2 linked regions of the Diceros bicornis minor genome follow. The protein of the gene in region 2 purifies or fractionates together with the protein of the main gene of each other region. This does not show direct contact. Links are inferred from orthologs where the notes say so. Each region holds a gene or a part of one and is shown on either strand. Other genes may lie near its edges.

What was found. The genes of interacting proteins can lie anywhere in the genome.
Region 1: the proteins of STX12 (region 2) and SLC7A1 purify together in Homo sapiens (co-immunoprecipitation; 3 studies listed by BioGRID and IntAct, counting the BioPlex papers as one, with this or other methods). This does not show direct contact. The link is inferred for Diceros bicornis minor from reciprocal best matches to the Homo sapiens genes STX12 and SLC7A1.

Annotation. Positions count from the first base shown.
Region 1 is NC_080748.1:12,666,093-12,672,968, reverse strand, and holds the start of SLC7A1 (high affinity cationic amino acid transporter 1), read left to right. Parts: upstream 1-3,861; 5' UTR 3,862-4,056; intron 4,057-6,876. UniProt on the Homo sapiens protein: High-affinity, low capacity permease involved in the transport of the cationic amino acids (arginine, lysine and ornithine) in non-hepatic tissues.
Region 2 is NC_080752.1:43,287,320-43,295,026, forward strand, and holds the start of STX12 (syntaxin-12), read left to right. Parts: upstream 1-4,701; 5' UTR 4,702-4,790; coding exon 4,791-4,908; intron 4,909-7,707. UniProt on the Homo sapiens protein: SNARE promoting fusion of transport vesicles with target membranes. Together with SNARE STX6, promotes movement of vesicles from endosomes to the cell membrane, and may therefore function in the endocytic recycling pathway.

The sequences.
Region 1 (6,876 bases), on a different chromosome or scaffold from region 2:
GCATTTCCACCAGCAATGAGTCAAGAGTTCCTGTTGCTCCACATCCTCGACAGCATTTGGTGGTGTTGCTGTTTTGGATTTTAGCTATTCAATGGGTGTGCAGTGGTATCTCATTGTTTTAATTTGCAATTCCCTAATGACATATGATGTTAAATATCTTTTTATATGCTTATTTGCCATCTATATGTCTTCCTTGATGAGGTGTCTGTTCAGGTCTTTTGCCCATTTTAAAAGTTGGGTTGTTTGTTTTCTTATTGTTGAGTTTTAAGAGTTCTTTGCAGGGGTTGGCCTGGTGGCGCAAGTGGTTAAGTGTGTGCGCTCTGCTGTGGCAGCCCGGGGTTCGCCGGTTCGGATCCCGGGTGCACACCGACGCACCGCTTGTCAAGCCATGGTGTGGTGGCATCCCATATAAAGTGGAGGAAGATGGGCATGGATGTTAGCCCAGGGCCAGTCTTCCTTAGCAAAAGAGGAGGATTGGCAGATGTTAGCTCAGGGCCGATCTTCCTCACAAAAAGAAAAAAAAAAGTTCTTTGTGTATTTTGGGTACCAGTACTTTACCAGGCATGTGTTTTGCAAAGATTTTCTTCTAGTCTGAGGCTTATCTTTTCATTCTCTTAATAGTGTCTTTTTTTTTTTTTTTTTTTTGTGAGGAGATCAGCCCTGAGCTAACATCCGCCAATCCTCCTCTTTTTTTTTTGCTGAGGAAGACGGCCCTGGGCTAACATCTGTGCCTATCTTCCTCCACTTTATATGGGACGCCGCCACAGCATGGCTTACCAAGCAGTGCGTCGGTGCGCGCCCGGGATCCGAACCAGCGAACCCCGGGCCGCCGCAGCGGAGCGCGCGCACTTAACCGCTTGCGCCACCGGGCCGGCCCCTCTTAATAGTGTCTTTTGCACAGCAGAAGTTTTAAATTTTAATGAAGTCCAACTTGTCAATTTTTTCTTTTGTGGATCATATTTTTGATGTATCTAAAAAGTCATTGCCAAACCTAAAGATCACTTAGATTTTCTCCTATGTTATCTTCTAGGATTTTTCTCATTTTGCATTTACATTTAGGTCTATGATTCGTTTTCAGTTAACTTTTGTGAAAGGTGTAAGGTCTGTGTCTAGATTCATTTTTTTTGCATGTGGATGTCCAGTTGTTTCAGCACCATTTGTTGAAGAGACTGTCCTTTCTCCATTGTATTGCCTTTTTCCTTTGCCTCAAAAATCAGTTGACTATATTGTGTGGCTCTATTTCTGGGCTTTGTCTGTCGGTTGTCATACTGTGTGTTGCGTGGGTCTGTTTCTGGTCTTTGTCAGCTGTCATACTGTGGTGTCTGCGTGTTGTCATGATGCTGAAAGCTATGCCACTGGTATGTCTAATACCAGCAGGGTCACCCAGGGTGACAGGTTTCAGCAGAGCTTCCAGACTAAGACAGACTGGGAGGAAGGACTTGGCCACCTACTTCTGAAAAAACTGGCCATGAAAACCCTGTGAATAGTGGTGGGACATTGTTTGATATAGAGCCTGGAAGATGAGAGGATGGCACAAAAAGACCGGGTAGGGTTCCGCTCTGCTGTACACAGGGTCACTAGGAGTCGGAAATGCCTCAACAGCACTAGCAACAAAAAATTCTAGGCTCTCTATTTTGTTTCACCTTTATGCATATTTTTCTTTTTCTTTTTTTCCACCTTTACTGAATGTATATTTTTCATTCTCACCATAAAGTTATTCCTATCCAGTAGGTAGTAAAACCCTTATTTTGAAGATGAAGAAACTGTGCCTAAGAGAGGACAATTTCCCTGCGCCAGCAGTGGGCAGAAAGTCGAGTTAGAGTTTAAAACCACATCTGTCTGACTCTCTGATGCTCTACACTTTTTGCACTCCCATGCTAGGCTGGGACTTGGTCTGTCAACCGTAACCTTAGATGGTGCCCTCTAGGGCCAAAATTCTAGCATCTCCTTTCCTTAATAGTCTTTGGAATCTTGGCTTAATGCTCTTTGATTCTGAGGTTGTCTGTCACTCATGGTCCCTCTGGACCTGCAATGGGAATCTTAACTGCCTGAAGTTTAGCTGTACTTAAAAAATTCAGCCAGGTTTTTTTTTCAGTTTTTTAAAAACTTTTTGCTGAGAACTTGAGCATAATGATTTTTTCCCTGGTTCACACTGAATCCTTTTTGCTGGGAAGCTGCTTGCTTATGGGTCTGGTCACTGAGGGTCTGCTATTGTCTTTCTGAAGAGGAAGCCTGCTGGGTGGGATTGCTAAACTGAGCACAGTGCTACAAATCTCCTTGGTTAAGTTCCACCCGTATACCCATCAGGGCCTGGAACATTTGCTCTCAGAATTTACAAATATTAACTCTGTGTTCCTTCTCTGCATTCCCCAAGCCGAGCATCTCTACAATCTACTAAATTCTATTTTACTGCCAAGACTCTTTAAAAAAAAATCCTATAATCATATTTCAAACACTAAAGGATAGTCTTCTGATAAGAATATAAGGTTAATAGAGGTGAAAAAGCTTGCAGAAGACCACACAGGGAATGAAGTGGGAGAATTCAGATTCAAATTCAGATCTGGTGCAGAGACAAAGTGGGTGGTCCTTGAATCACACCAGGCTTCCCTCTGTGAGAAGGGGGACATCCTTTCAAGGCAGTGTCAGGGGGTAAAGGAGACTGTGTGGGATTCAGAAAAAGCCCCAACACAGGGGACCTCCTTAATGCAACTCGAGAGCATCATTTCATCACTGTACAATTGAAACTGAAATTTATTGTTTTAAAACAATGTACAGGTAGTCACTTATGATGCCAAACACTGTTCAAAATGCTTCACAAATATTAGCACATTTCTATGCGTTCATTAAAACATTTTCTGAAGCCAGTACCATGCAGTTATGTGCTCTATAAATAGCTAGTGTAATTCCAAAAGAGAGGATCACATCCAGTGGCTGACGACGAGCCCCTTACTGACCAAGAACATCAGGTGGGGGTAGGAGGTGTGGAAAGGATTCAAAGACCATGGACACTGTACTGTCGTTTTGTCTGTTTTCTACAAAGTTAGGAGGAGACTGGCAGAATTAATCTATGTCCCGCTCGCCTCTCACATGTCACACATCACTGGATCTCCATAGACTGTGGTTTTTTTTTTTTTTTTTTGGAGCAAAGAGAGACAACAAAGAGGGAGCTTGTGAGGTGAGCCCTGTGGGATTCGGTACTGAAGTCTCGGCCATCTCGGGGAGAGTAACTCCGGAAATAAGCCGCTTTGACGAGCCCGTTGGCCAGGTATGCTTGTCCCACGGCCAAGGGGCACAGGTAGATTCAGGCTTCAGGGCCCTTCCTGACAAGGGGCAAGGATAAATTATTTATTAAAAGCAAGGGAATAGCAATAAAATACTCCAATGATAAAGAAATGAAGATTTATAATAATTTTTAAAAACCCTTGAAGTGCTTCCCAAATCTTTTATTTTTGGAAAGGAAAACTGGCCGCGAGCTCGGTGTCAGCTCGCTGAGACCCGCTGGTCGGGGCTTGGCACGGCCGAGCCCGCGGCACTAGCCCCGGCCCGCCAGGCCTGCAGGGGACCAGAGGACGCGGTGCGGCCGCCGGCTCGGATTGGCGGAGAAATGGCAACACGCGGGCGGGGCGACCGCGAAGACGCCGGGAGGCGCCGCCCGCCTGCGGGGGGATCCCAGGTTGGCGCCCGGGCGCGCGAAGACGCGCCGCCCCGCCCCCGCGCCCGCCGGGCAGCCGCGCCGCGCTTCCATTGGCGGTCGGCGGTGACGCAGCGCGGGCTGGGGCCCGGGGGCGGGCTCGCGGGCCAGGCCCGGGCCGCGCGGCTGATGAAACCCGGCGCCGGGGCCCGCCCGCCCTCACGCTCCATTCAGTCGGCGCGGGCAGGTGTGAGCGGCCGGTCAACTGCCTGGCGGGGCACGCGGCCAGCCGGCATCCGCTAACCGCAGCTCCCACTCTCACTGCGGCTCCCCGCGCCGGGCCTGCGTCCGAGCGTCCGTCAGTCCAGCCGCGCGTGCGTCCGTCCATCCACAGTCGTGCCGGCATCCTGCCGCCCGCCGGCTCGGTGAGTGCCCGGCCCCCGCCGGCGCCAGGGCAGCTCCCCGCGTCTGGGTCACCTTGGAAGGGACCCCGGCGCTGCGTGGGGCCGTGGGAGGGCGGCGCGGGAGCGGCGAGGGTCCTGCGCCCGGGGCGCTGGCATCCTCCAGGGTGGGCGAGGGCAGGGCGGGCCCGGGGGTGTGCGCGCGGGGCTGGTGCCCATGTGGCTGTCTCCTTCACCGGAGTCCATTTTGGTTCCCTGAAGGCGCGGCGTGGTGCATGATGCAACACCGAGTGAGTAAGCGTGGGCGACCTGGCTCCTCGGTGATGCCCACCCCGCGCGCCCTGCCAGGGACCCCGGCGCCGGGACGGACGGGGTGGTCGGCGTGGACAGCGGCGGGGAGCGGGTACGGGGGCCGGCCCAGGAGGCATCCGGAGACCTTCCCTTACATGGCGCGGTGCTGAGCACCCCGCCCCGCCACGAAGTCCGCGATGTGTCATCCGCCGCGGGTGGGGAGCCCGCCCGGCGGCCGGGAGGGTGGTCCCGCGGCAGGTGGCCGGCCTGGGGACAACGCTAGCACCCCGCACCCTGCCCACGGCGCCCACTCTCTTCCCTAGACCCCGGGACGCGCCCCGCCCCGCCCACACCTCTTGTCGGGATCGCCAGGGTTTTTTCGGAGAAGTCCCCTCTGGGTGGGCTTCCTTGTGACCTGAATTGGCCTGTAAAAGCTGGATTCTTCAAGCCTTCCAGATGGTTTGGAGCGGGAGGAAGTTCTTCCGGCTTAGTAAAGACAACCTGTTCTCAGTGTGTCCCTTTCTGCGTAGTAGAAAACTTCCCAGGCCAGGCAGGTCTGGCAGTCCCTCTAAAACCTGTGTGTACACAGAGCGGCACTCGCACTGTAGTACTACCACAGCGTGCTATTTTAGTTCCTTCCCCTTTTCAGTGGGTGTGGGAACCAGTTAGGAGTTGTGTTTGACTTGTATGATTAGGATAGGCAGACATGTGCCTTCTGGAAGAGAACTATACTTCTTAATACCCACAGGCAGGCTCGGGTGTGTGGAAGTACCTGGAGTTGGGTATTATTCCAGATTTAGTTACAAGGGAGAGGGTTGGGATTTCAGTACCAGGTGTAGTTCCCTAAAAATGTGCTCTTTAAAATTTGACCATTAGAACTGTGTATGTTGGCCTCTGTCTGAATTTCCTGATTGTATTTCATTTGACCTATAATTTACTTAGGATTTCTCTTAACATTTGTTGCCCTTTATGTTCGGTTCAGATAGAAGGAAACGGTGATACATATATCCCCCTGATATTTTTAGTTGATCTCGGTGGAAATTATTATTTTTCTGTGAACACACCCTTCTGTCATTAAAACAAAAGGTCTTATTTAAGTCACACAATCAGAATAGAAATTTAGGGGGCAGAGTCAACAATGGATTAAAATAGTTTTTAAAGGTTTAGCATATTAAGATCATGTTTAATCATTATATATAAAATTTAAAAGGTGTCAAAGGAGTTTTGACTAAACCAACAGGATAAGACTAAATAGAGATCAGAAATGTACTCAGTTGTTGGATCTGGATTTGAGCCACGTGGGTGCTTGTATGTATATAATTATTTGCTTCAGAGAGAAAAAGGCTTGAAAGACAAGATTGCTGACCTCCCGAGTTTGAATACTAGGACGCGTGTTAATTATATTTGGTAGAAGTTTCCATTCTTCGATGGAATTAAATACATGTTTGTTGACAGTTTCTGTGTACTGAGTTTAGTTTCTACCAAGTAGTTTATTTCTACTAAGGCCAGTAAAAAGACCTAATTATGGGGGTTGGCGTGGTGGCGCAAGCGGTTAAGTGCGCGTCTTCTGCTTTGGCGGCCGTGCCTTCGCAGGTTCGGGCCCAGGGGCTCACTGACGCACCACTTGTCAAGCCGTGCTGTGGTGGGCCTCCCATATAAAGTGGAGGAAGATGGGCATGGATGTTAGCTCAGGGCCAACCTTCCTCAGCAAAGAAAGAGGAGGATTGGCATCAGATGTTAGCTCAGGGCTGATCTTCCTCACAAAAAAAAATTAAAAATTAAAACAATGCCCAGCATTGTTTAATTGAATTAATCCCTTTTCATTATTAACTATGTATTTGGCAGTATTGGTTTATTAATCCTAAGAAGGAATTCCAAACAGGAGTAAGTGCAGCCTTGTTATGGAGGGAAGCATTTTCCTCTGGGCCAGAGGCATCTTCTGAGATGTTCATCATTCCACCTGGCTCTTGGTCCTCACTCCAAGCAGGACCTGTGGATGGGACCCTAGTGTTTTTCTGTATGATTGACCTTTTCAGGCCTGGGGGCTCTCTATACCTCTGTCTGTTCCAGTTGAGGGCAGGTCTCATAGGATTTTGCTTTTACTCGCATAAGATTTTGCTTTTACTTTGAGTGAGGTGGGGAACCATGGAAAGCTGTCTGGTAGTTTTCAAGGATTACTTGAAACACTGTATAGAGAAAAGATGGGTGGGTGGGGAGAGGGGCAGGCATAGAAGCAGGGAGACCAACCAGTTCAGAGACTTGTAAGTAATTCTGGAATAAAACCCACCTCCAGGTTATTTCTACACAAGAGAGAGTGACCATATGTAATTTTGGTGAGAGATGATGGCAGCTTGGGCTGGGGTGGAAATGGTAGAAATGTGAGGTGGTCGAATTCTGCTCCGTCTGTAGGTTTATATACTTGCTCTATCTGTAGATTTTAGAGGTGGACCCAATAGGATTGGCCACTGGGTTCCATGTGAGGTGTGAAAGAGGTCGAATGTGATTTTAAGTAGAATGGAGTTGCCATATTAGTGAGATGGGGAAGGCTGAGGA
Region 2 (7,707 bases):
AGCATATGCTTTTGAGATGCGTCCATGTTGTCTCATGTCTCTGTAATTTATTCCACCTTTCAGTAGTTTGTTCCTTTTTATAACGGAATAGTTTACCATTGTATGGATGTACCACAATTTTTTATCTATTTGGCAGCTGATGGACATTTGAGGTATTTCTAGTTTTTTGTTATTATGAATAAAGGTGCCTTACACATTTGCATACAGGTCTTTGTATGAACATGTGTTTTTATTTCTCTTGGGTAAATACCTATGAGTGGGATGATTGTATGATAAATTTATGTTTCATTCTATAAGAAACTGCCAAACTGTTTTCCAAAGGGACTGTACAATTTTGCATTCCCCCTAGCAATGTATGATGAGTGCTAATTTTAATGCAGTCTCCTTTGCAACCCAAGTGAATTTCTCCATTGACCCTCCCCTATCATACCCCAGGAAGCGTGCCATATTGGTGATAATGATATTTTATTTTTAAAATATGAAACTTGGGGCTGGCCTGGTGGTGTAGTGGTTAAGTTTGTGCACTCTGCTTTGGTGGCCCCGGGGTTCGAGGGTTTGGATCCTGGGCGTGGACCTACGCACTGCTTATCATGGCATGCTGTGGCAGGCGTCCCACATATAAAGTGGAGGAAGATGGGCATGGATGTTAACCCAGGGCCAATCTTCCTCAGCAAAAGAGGAGGATTGGCAACAGATGTTAGCTCAAGGCTAATCTTCCTCGGCAAAAAAAAAAAAAAAACATTTACTGATGTATAGTATACATACAGAAGAGGACACACATCACATGTATATGACTTTATAAATTTTCACAAAGTAAACACCTATATAACTACCACCTAGATCATGAAATAGACTGCTACCAGCATCCTAGAAGCCCACCTCATGTGCCCACTCCTACTCACTCCCTTTCTTTCTCAAAACTAACTACATAACTCTTCTGGCTTTTAATAACACAGATTAATTTTGCTGATTTTGAACCAAATAAAAATGGAATGATACCGAATGTATTCATTTTGTGTCTGGCTTTTGCTACACATTCTGTTTGGACAAGATCACCCACATTGTTCACATAGCAGTAGACCATTTGTTTTTGTGTTCTATAATACTACAATTTATCCATCTTACTATTGATGGACATTTGGGTTGTTTCCAGTTGGGAACTAGTAAAAATAAATGCTGCTCTGGCCTTCTTCATAATAGCCCCAAACTGGAAAGATTCCAAATGTCCAACGATAAAAGGGAATGGATAATCAAATTGTAGTATATTCATATGATGAAATACTACTCAGCAATAAAAAGACCAAATCACTGATATATGTAACATCATGGATAAATCTCAAAAACATTATTTCAATTGAAACAAGCCATACACTAAAGAATACATAAAGTAGGGGCCGGCCTGGTGGCACAGCAGTTAAGCGTGCACGCTCCGCTTGGGCGGCCCCGGGTTCGCAGGTTCGGATCCCCAGCGCACACAGACGCACCGCTTGTCAAGCCAGGCTGTGGCGGCGTCCCATATAAAGTAGAGGAAGATGGGCACGGATGGTAGCTCGGGGCCAATCCCTCAGCAAAAAATGAGGAGGATTGGCATCGGATGTTAGCTCAGGGCTGATCTTCCTCACAAAACAAAACAAAAAAATGGTAGAAAGGAGCACAGCTCAAGGAAACTTTCTGGGGTTATGATGAAAATGTTCTATATTCTTGGTTTGGGTGGTGGTTACGTGCATGTATACAAGTGTCAAAATTCATTGACTTGAGCACTTACTATCTGTGCATTCTATTGTATGTCAATTATAACTTGATAAAAATGAATACAGAAAAATGCTGCTTAGTCCTAAAAAATGCTATTATGTACACTCCTATACTTGGTTTTTGGAACACATGTGTATGCATATTTGTTGAGTAGATAGTTAGGAGTAGAATTGCTAGGTCATAGAATATGTATGAATCACAGCTCTGCAACTTAATAGGCGTATGACATTGGACAAGTACCCAGAACCTCTAGAGAACACCATCTTCCTTATCTGTTACCCATGAGCTAATCTCACCTTAATGGGCATGAACCATGAAAACTATTTTTGTCAATTAACAAAAGGACATAATGCTGAGAAACCTTATTCTCTAAAATCACAGATTTTCAGAAAATTGGCTATTTGAAATATCAGTAAGAATGGAATATTCCACTCTTGCCTGGAGGATCTGAGCTACTTTGACACAGAGAAGCAGCCTCAATTTCCAACCCAGGTGCAGAGCTTCAGACAAGGGGTTTCCAGATACAATATTCCACATTTCTCTTCACATTGTAGTTTCCAAGGAAACAGGATCCTGAGTCCTCTTGTTAGCTCAGGCCTGATGATAATCCCTTTACACATAGCCTGGTGTGCTTTGAGGTTATCAAAACCACTGCTTCTTTTAAATTTCACCTACACTCCCATCATTTCCTCAAATTCTGGAATAACTCTATGTCTTCTTATGCTTAGTGAGATGCCCATGATTCCTCCGGTGTGCAGTCTCCCTTGCAGCATTAAGTTAATAAGTCTAACTTTGTTAGACCATAGGTGGTCTTTATCACGTGGGCTATATCTTGGGGATTACTATTAACATTTGTAAAATGTGTTCACATTGCCTGTATAGGCAGTTAAGAAATAGTAGTAATTTTATGTTATTCATGTATCAATTCAATAAATGTTCATTTGATATCTAGTATTTGCAAGGCACAGATTATTGCTATGAGAGACGCACAGATGGAAAACCATTTTTTATTTCAGATGGAAAAAGAAAACAATAACAATAATCACTATATCTTCAGTTCCTGGGAGAAAAATACCTTTACTGAACTTTGCTTTAAATAGTCAAATGTAAATGAAAACATTCTCAAGACTATTTTAAATTTATTTATTTATTTTTTCCCCCAAAGCCCCAGTAGATAGTTGTATGTCACAGCTGCACAACCTTCTTAGTTGCTGTATATGGGACATGGCCTCAGCATGGCCGGAGAAGCGGTGCCTCGGTGCATGCCCGGGATCTGAACCCAGGCCGCCAGCAGCAGAGCGCGCGCACTCAACCACTAGGCCACGGGCCAGCCCTCTCAAGACTATTTTATGGGTAAAAAAAGTACTACAATTTACATGATTTGCCATAAGATTTGCCATAAAACTATGGATTCTAAGAAACGGTAGGGTTTTCATAACCAGAATGAGAGCCCCCAAATGTCATCTGTCCCTTTCTATAAAGAAGTACTCTTGGGGCCAGCCTGATGGCATAGCAGTTAAGTTCACATGCTCTGCTTTGGTGGCCCAGGGTTCGCAGGCCCAGATCCGGGCACGGACCGATGCACTGCTTGTCAAGCCATGCTCTGGTGGTGTCCCATATAAAGTAGAGGACGATGGGCACGGATGTTAGCCCAGGGCCAATCTTCCTCAGCAAAAAGAGGAGGATTGGCAACAGATGTTAGCTCAGGGCTAATCTTCCTCACCAAAAAAAAAAAAAAGAAGTACTCTTGTAAATGTTCCAACAAAAAATAGAGATAGGCTTGCTTACAAAAACTCTAAGCCTGAATGTAGGCTCATTCACCCATTTGGCTTCCTCTCTTTGCCATTCCCCAGAGATTGCAAAGCAAGCTGGGCTGGGGTGGAGTGGAGAACACAGGAAACCAACATGGCCAGTTCCCCTTCACTTCTCCCTGTCTTGATTTCCTCCCAAACCAAAATCCTACCCACGTCTTTCCATTTACCATCAGCTCACAAAATGCAGTCTTCTATAAGAACATGAGGTTATACAGTCCAAATTACTTAAGGGAATGATTTTTAAAATTTGAGAGTCTAGTTCTCCAAAAATCCTGGTTTGGGATATAGATGAAGAGGCTATTTGGGAGAGGTTTTGATGGAGAATGAATTTGGGAATATGAGAATGTGTTTTAGGGAAGTAATGCGATGACCATGGATTTAGCTTAGTGTGTGGGTTTTGTAGTCAGATCTCAGAAAAGCAAATTAACCTCTGTGTTAAAGGGAAAATAACCGTTACTTTGTCGAGGTAGTTCAACATTTTAAAAATCGATTGTCCATTGTTTATTCTGAAGGTAAAAATATAGTTAGAACATCGTCCCTTGCTGTGAAAGAGCTTGTAAACAAGTGAATTGCAGCGAGGATTCACACACAGTACGTGCTCAAATTTTATTATTATTATTATTATCATTTTATTGTTTAGAAGAGGGGTGCAGGGAAAAATGAAAGTGGTTTGTAAACCAGAAAAGTCTCCGCAAATACTATCAAAGCCCTAGAGGATAGAAATAGAGTGAGGAATTTCAGGAGTTTGGTTACGGATCTGAGTTTCAAGGTTGTCGAATTCTCCCATATTTGGGCGTGAATTCTCAGAAAAGAACAGAATAGCATGTTAGGGCTGAGATCATCTGGTCCAATTTTATGCTAATCGAAAATTCTTGCCTCCTGTCACCGCGCCCAGGCGAGAAACACCACCGCCACCGCAGCTCATCCAATCGGAGCCCCAACTATCTGACATCATCGCCCCGCCCCTCAAGCCCAAGCTCCGGGGCGTCCAGTCTCTAAGCTACTGTGCCCCGCACCACTTCCAGCGGCGCCCGCGCAACTGAGGGGCGGGGCGGGGCGGGGCGGACGCGTGCGCGCCGCGTGGGGGCGGGACTAGTGCGCACGCAGCCTCAGCCTCTTCCCAGACCTTTTCCTTCCTGGTTTCCCCGTCAGTCTGCGGGTCCCGTCTGGCAGCTGCTTCCGGTAGGAGCCCGGTGCAGGACCAGTCGGTCTCAGCTCCTCGTCATGTCCTACGGTCCCTTAGACATGTACCGGAACCCGGGGCCCTTGGGGCCCCAACTCCGGGACTTCAACAGCATCATCCAGACGTGCAGCGGCAACATCCAGCGGATCAGCCAAGCCAGTGAGCCGGGGGACTGGGCTGAGGGGCGGGCGCCGTCCGGGGGTCAGGCCTGGGTGTGGCTGCCGGGACGCGGAGCTCGGCCGGGGCTACGGCCAAGGCCGCACCTGACGCCATCTCGGGCTCTCCATTCTGGAGGCGGCGCCTGTCATCCCCGCATCTGTCAGGCCCGGGCTCCCCGAGGGTCCCGAGCCCCAGCGGAAGCTCGAGCTATTTCCCAGGTTCTGCCCTCGTGATGTTAGGGCCAAAACTGCAGACCTGACAGCCCCAGGGTGGGAAGGGGTGTGTGTGTCACCTCGAGAGCAGTGAGTGACTTGACTTGGCGCAGTGGTCAGCCGAGTTTTTCCTGTCATCCGCCTTCCCCCCGCCCATCTCTCCTTCCTCTTTGGCTAGCTTGGATCGGGAGTTGTTTACTGATTTAGACTTTAGGTTTACATTCTGCTGAGCTTCTGGCTTCTTGGAGATCAGCAGCTTTCAATTAAAGGAAGTGGAGAGTGCTTGTGTTATGGTGACTTAATACACAGTTCTTCACGTAGTGAAATTGGAAATCAGATAACGACTTCTGTTTTAAATAAAGAGAATTCACCGAAAACATTTCAATTTACATTGTCTTTTGTAGCAAAAGATTTGCGTATATTTTTGGATTTCAAGCCAATGAGGCTTTGTTTTCCATCTCTATTGAGCTACTCTTCTGAGCAAATCTGATACATAGAGAAGCTCAGGATCTTGGCCACAATCACATAGCAAGTAAGACATGGTAGAGTTGGTGGTAGATTTCAGAATGTCCTTGCTTGTCTTAAAACTGGATCCCCACCATTGGGGTCTGAGTGAGACTGCAGCTGAATGAGTCAGATAGAGGCTGTTTCTCGTGCCTGAAAAATCAGCTCAGAGCCTTATAAACAGGAGGTCAGCAGCAACAACTTTACTTGGAAAGAATGATGATCATCATCCTTGTTGTTTATTATTGTGCTTTTGTGAGTGTGGCTGGACTCTGTTAATAGATAGAACTAGTTGGTCCTGAATTACAGTTATGTTTTATATTTTAAAGAACAATCTATCACTTTGCTTTTAAATTTAAATACATAGTGCAGAATTTGAGAGGTGAGAAGTTTCTGATGGGAAGGGTTTGAGACTGAGTGATTTGGAAGTGGAAAGAAGAATATGTAGCATGTCAAGTCCAGAAATTAAAAAAGAAATTAATGTGACCACTGGTTAGAAAGTATAGTACTTTGTGTTCCAATTTCCTTTTGTGAGGGAGCTGTAATACAAGTTAGATCAGAAAATTCTGGTTCAAGGCTAAAAGTTTCTTGTTGAGGCTAAATCTAATTTTAATGTCTATTTGTGAAATCATTCTACATATATTTGAGTATCAGGCTATGTAGTAAGTATAGGAACTGGCATGGATTCTTTCATATATTCATATTTCAACCGAAATATAAAGTTGAAAGGGATCAGTGCTATAGATGAAGTTTAAATAACATTATGTAGGTATTCAGAGGAGAGAGAGACTATTTTGAGTTGGGAGGGATCGGGGAAGGCATTATGGCATTTGAGCTAGGTCTGAAAAGATGGTGGAAAGGATTTGAACTTGTGACGGTAATGAATGGGAGAGCATTCCAGGAGGGAATAAAATGAACAAGGCATGCTAGTGGAAAGGCATGTGGTTTATATAGAAAAGTAGAGTGATTTAATTTGGCTGGAGTGGTAGACTCTAGAAAGTAGGGGAAAATGGGGTTGGAAAGGTAAGTTCGGGCCCAAACATGAAGGGCTTTATGTGCTAAACTAAGGGGATTTGGATTTAATTCTTTTAAGAATGTGTAAATTGAATTGGAAGGGAGAGACTGGAATTAGAGACAGCAGTTAGGAACTGTGAAAATTAAAAGGAAGGAGAGGATAGGAGGGATCTCTTTGATGATAGAATTGATAAGATGTAGTTGTCGACTGGGCTCAAGGGATCATTGGAGTCAACCATTAATAACATTAATAGGGGCCGGCCTGGTGGCCCAAGCGGTTGGGTGCGCACGCTCTGCTGCGGCCCGGGGTTCGCCAGCTGGGATCCCGGGCACGCACCCACGCACCGCTTGTTAAGCCATGCTGTGGCGGCGTCCCATATAAAGCAGAGGAAGATGGGCACGGATGTTAGCCCAGGGCCAGTCTTCCTCAGCAAAAAGAGGACGATTGGCATTGAATGTTAGCTCAGGGCTGGTCCTCCTCACAAAAAAAATAAATAAATAAAATAACATTAATAGCTAACATTTCAGTACATACTGTGTGCCAGGCAGTATGAAAAGTGTTTTACATGCATTATCTTACTTAATTTTATAACACCTCTGTGAAGTAATTACCAATATTATTTCCATTTGATAGGTTTGGAAACAGGCTGAGAAAGGCTAAATAATTACCTAGCTAACAAATGGCAATACCTGAATTTGAAACCAGGTCTGTCTCTTATGACCAGCAATTAGCCTTTTTTGTAATTTTTAATTAATATTACAGTTTTGTAGCAGTTAACACTTCAAGTTACCAGTGACTTTTTTTTTTTTTTAACTTTCCATAGGAAACTATGGAGAATACCTGAGGCTGTGGAACTTTCTCTTCTTATGGTGTGTCCATCTTCCTGCTAGATTGTTAGCTCCTTTGAAGCATGAGACATGACTTATTCATCTTTATATTTCTAGTACTTGTCTCAGTCCCAAGCATATGATAGATTCATTCATTCACTCACTGTTCAACAAATACTCTTTGAGTACCTGCTGTGCACTGGGGATGGAGTGATGAACAAGACAGACAAAATCCTTGCCC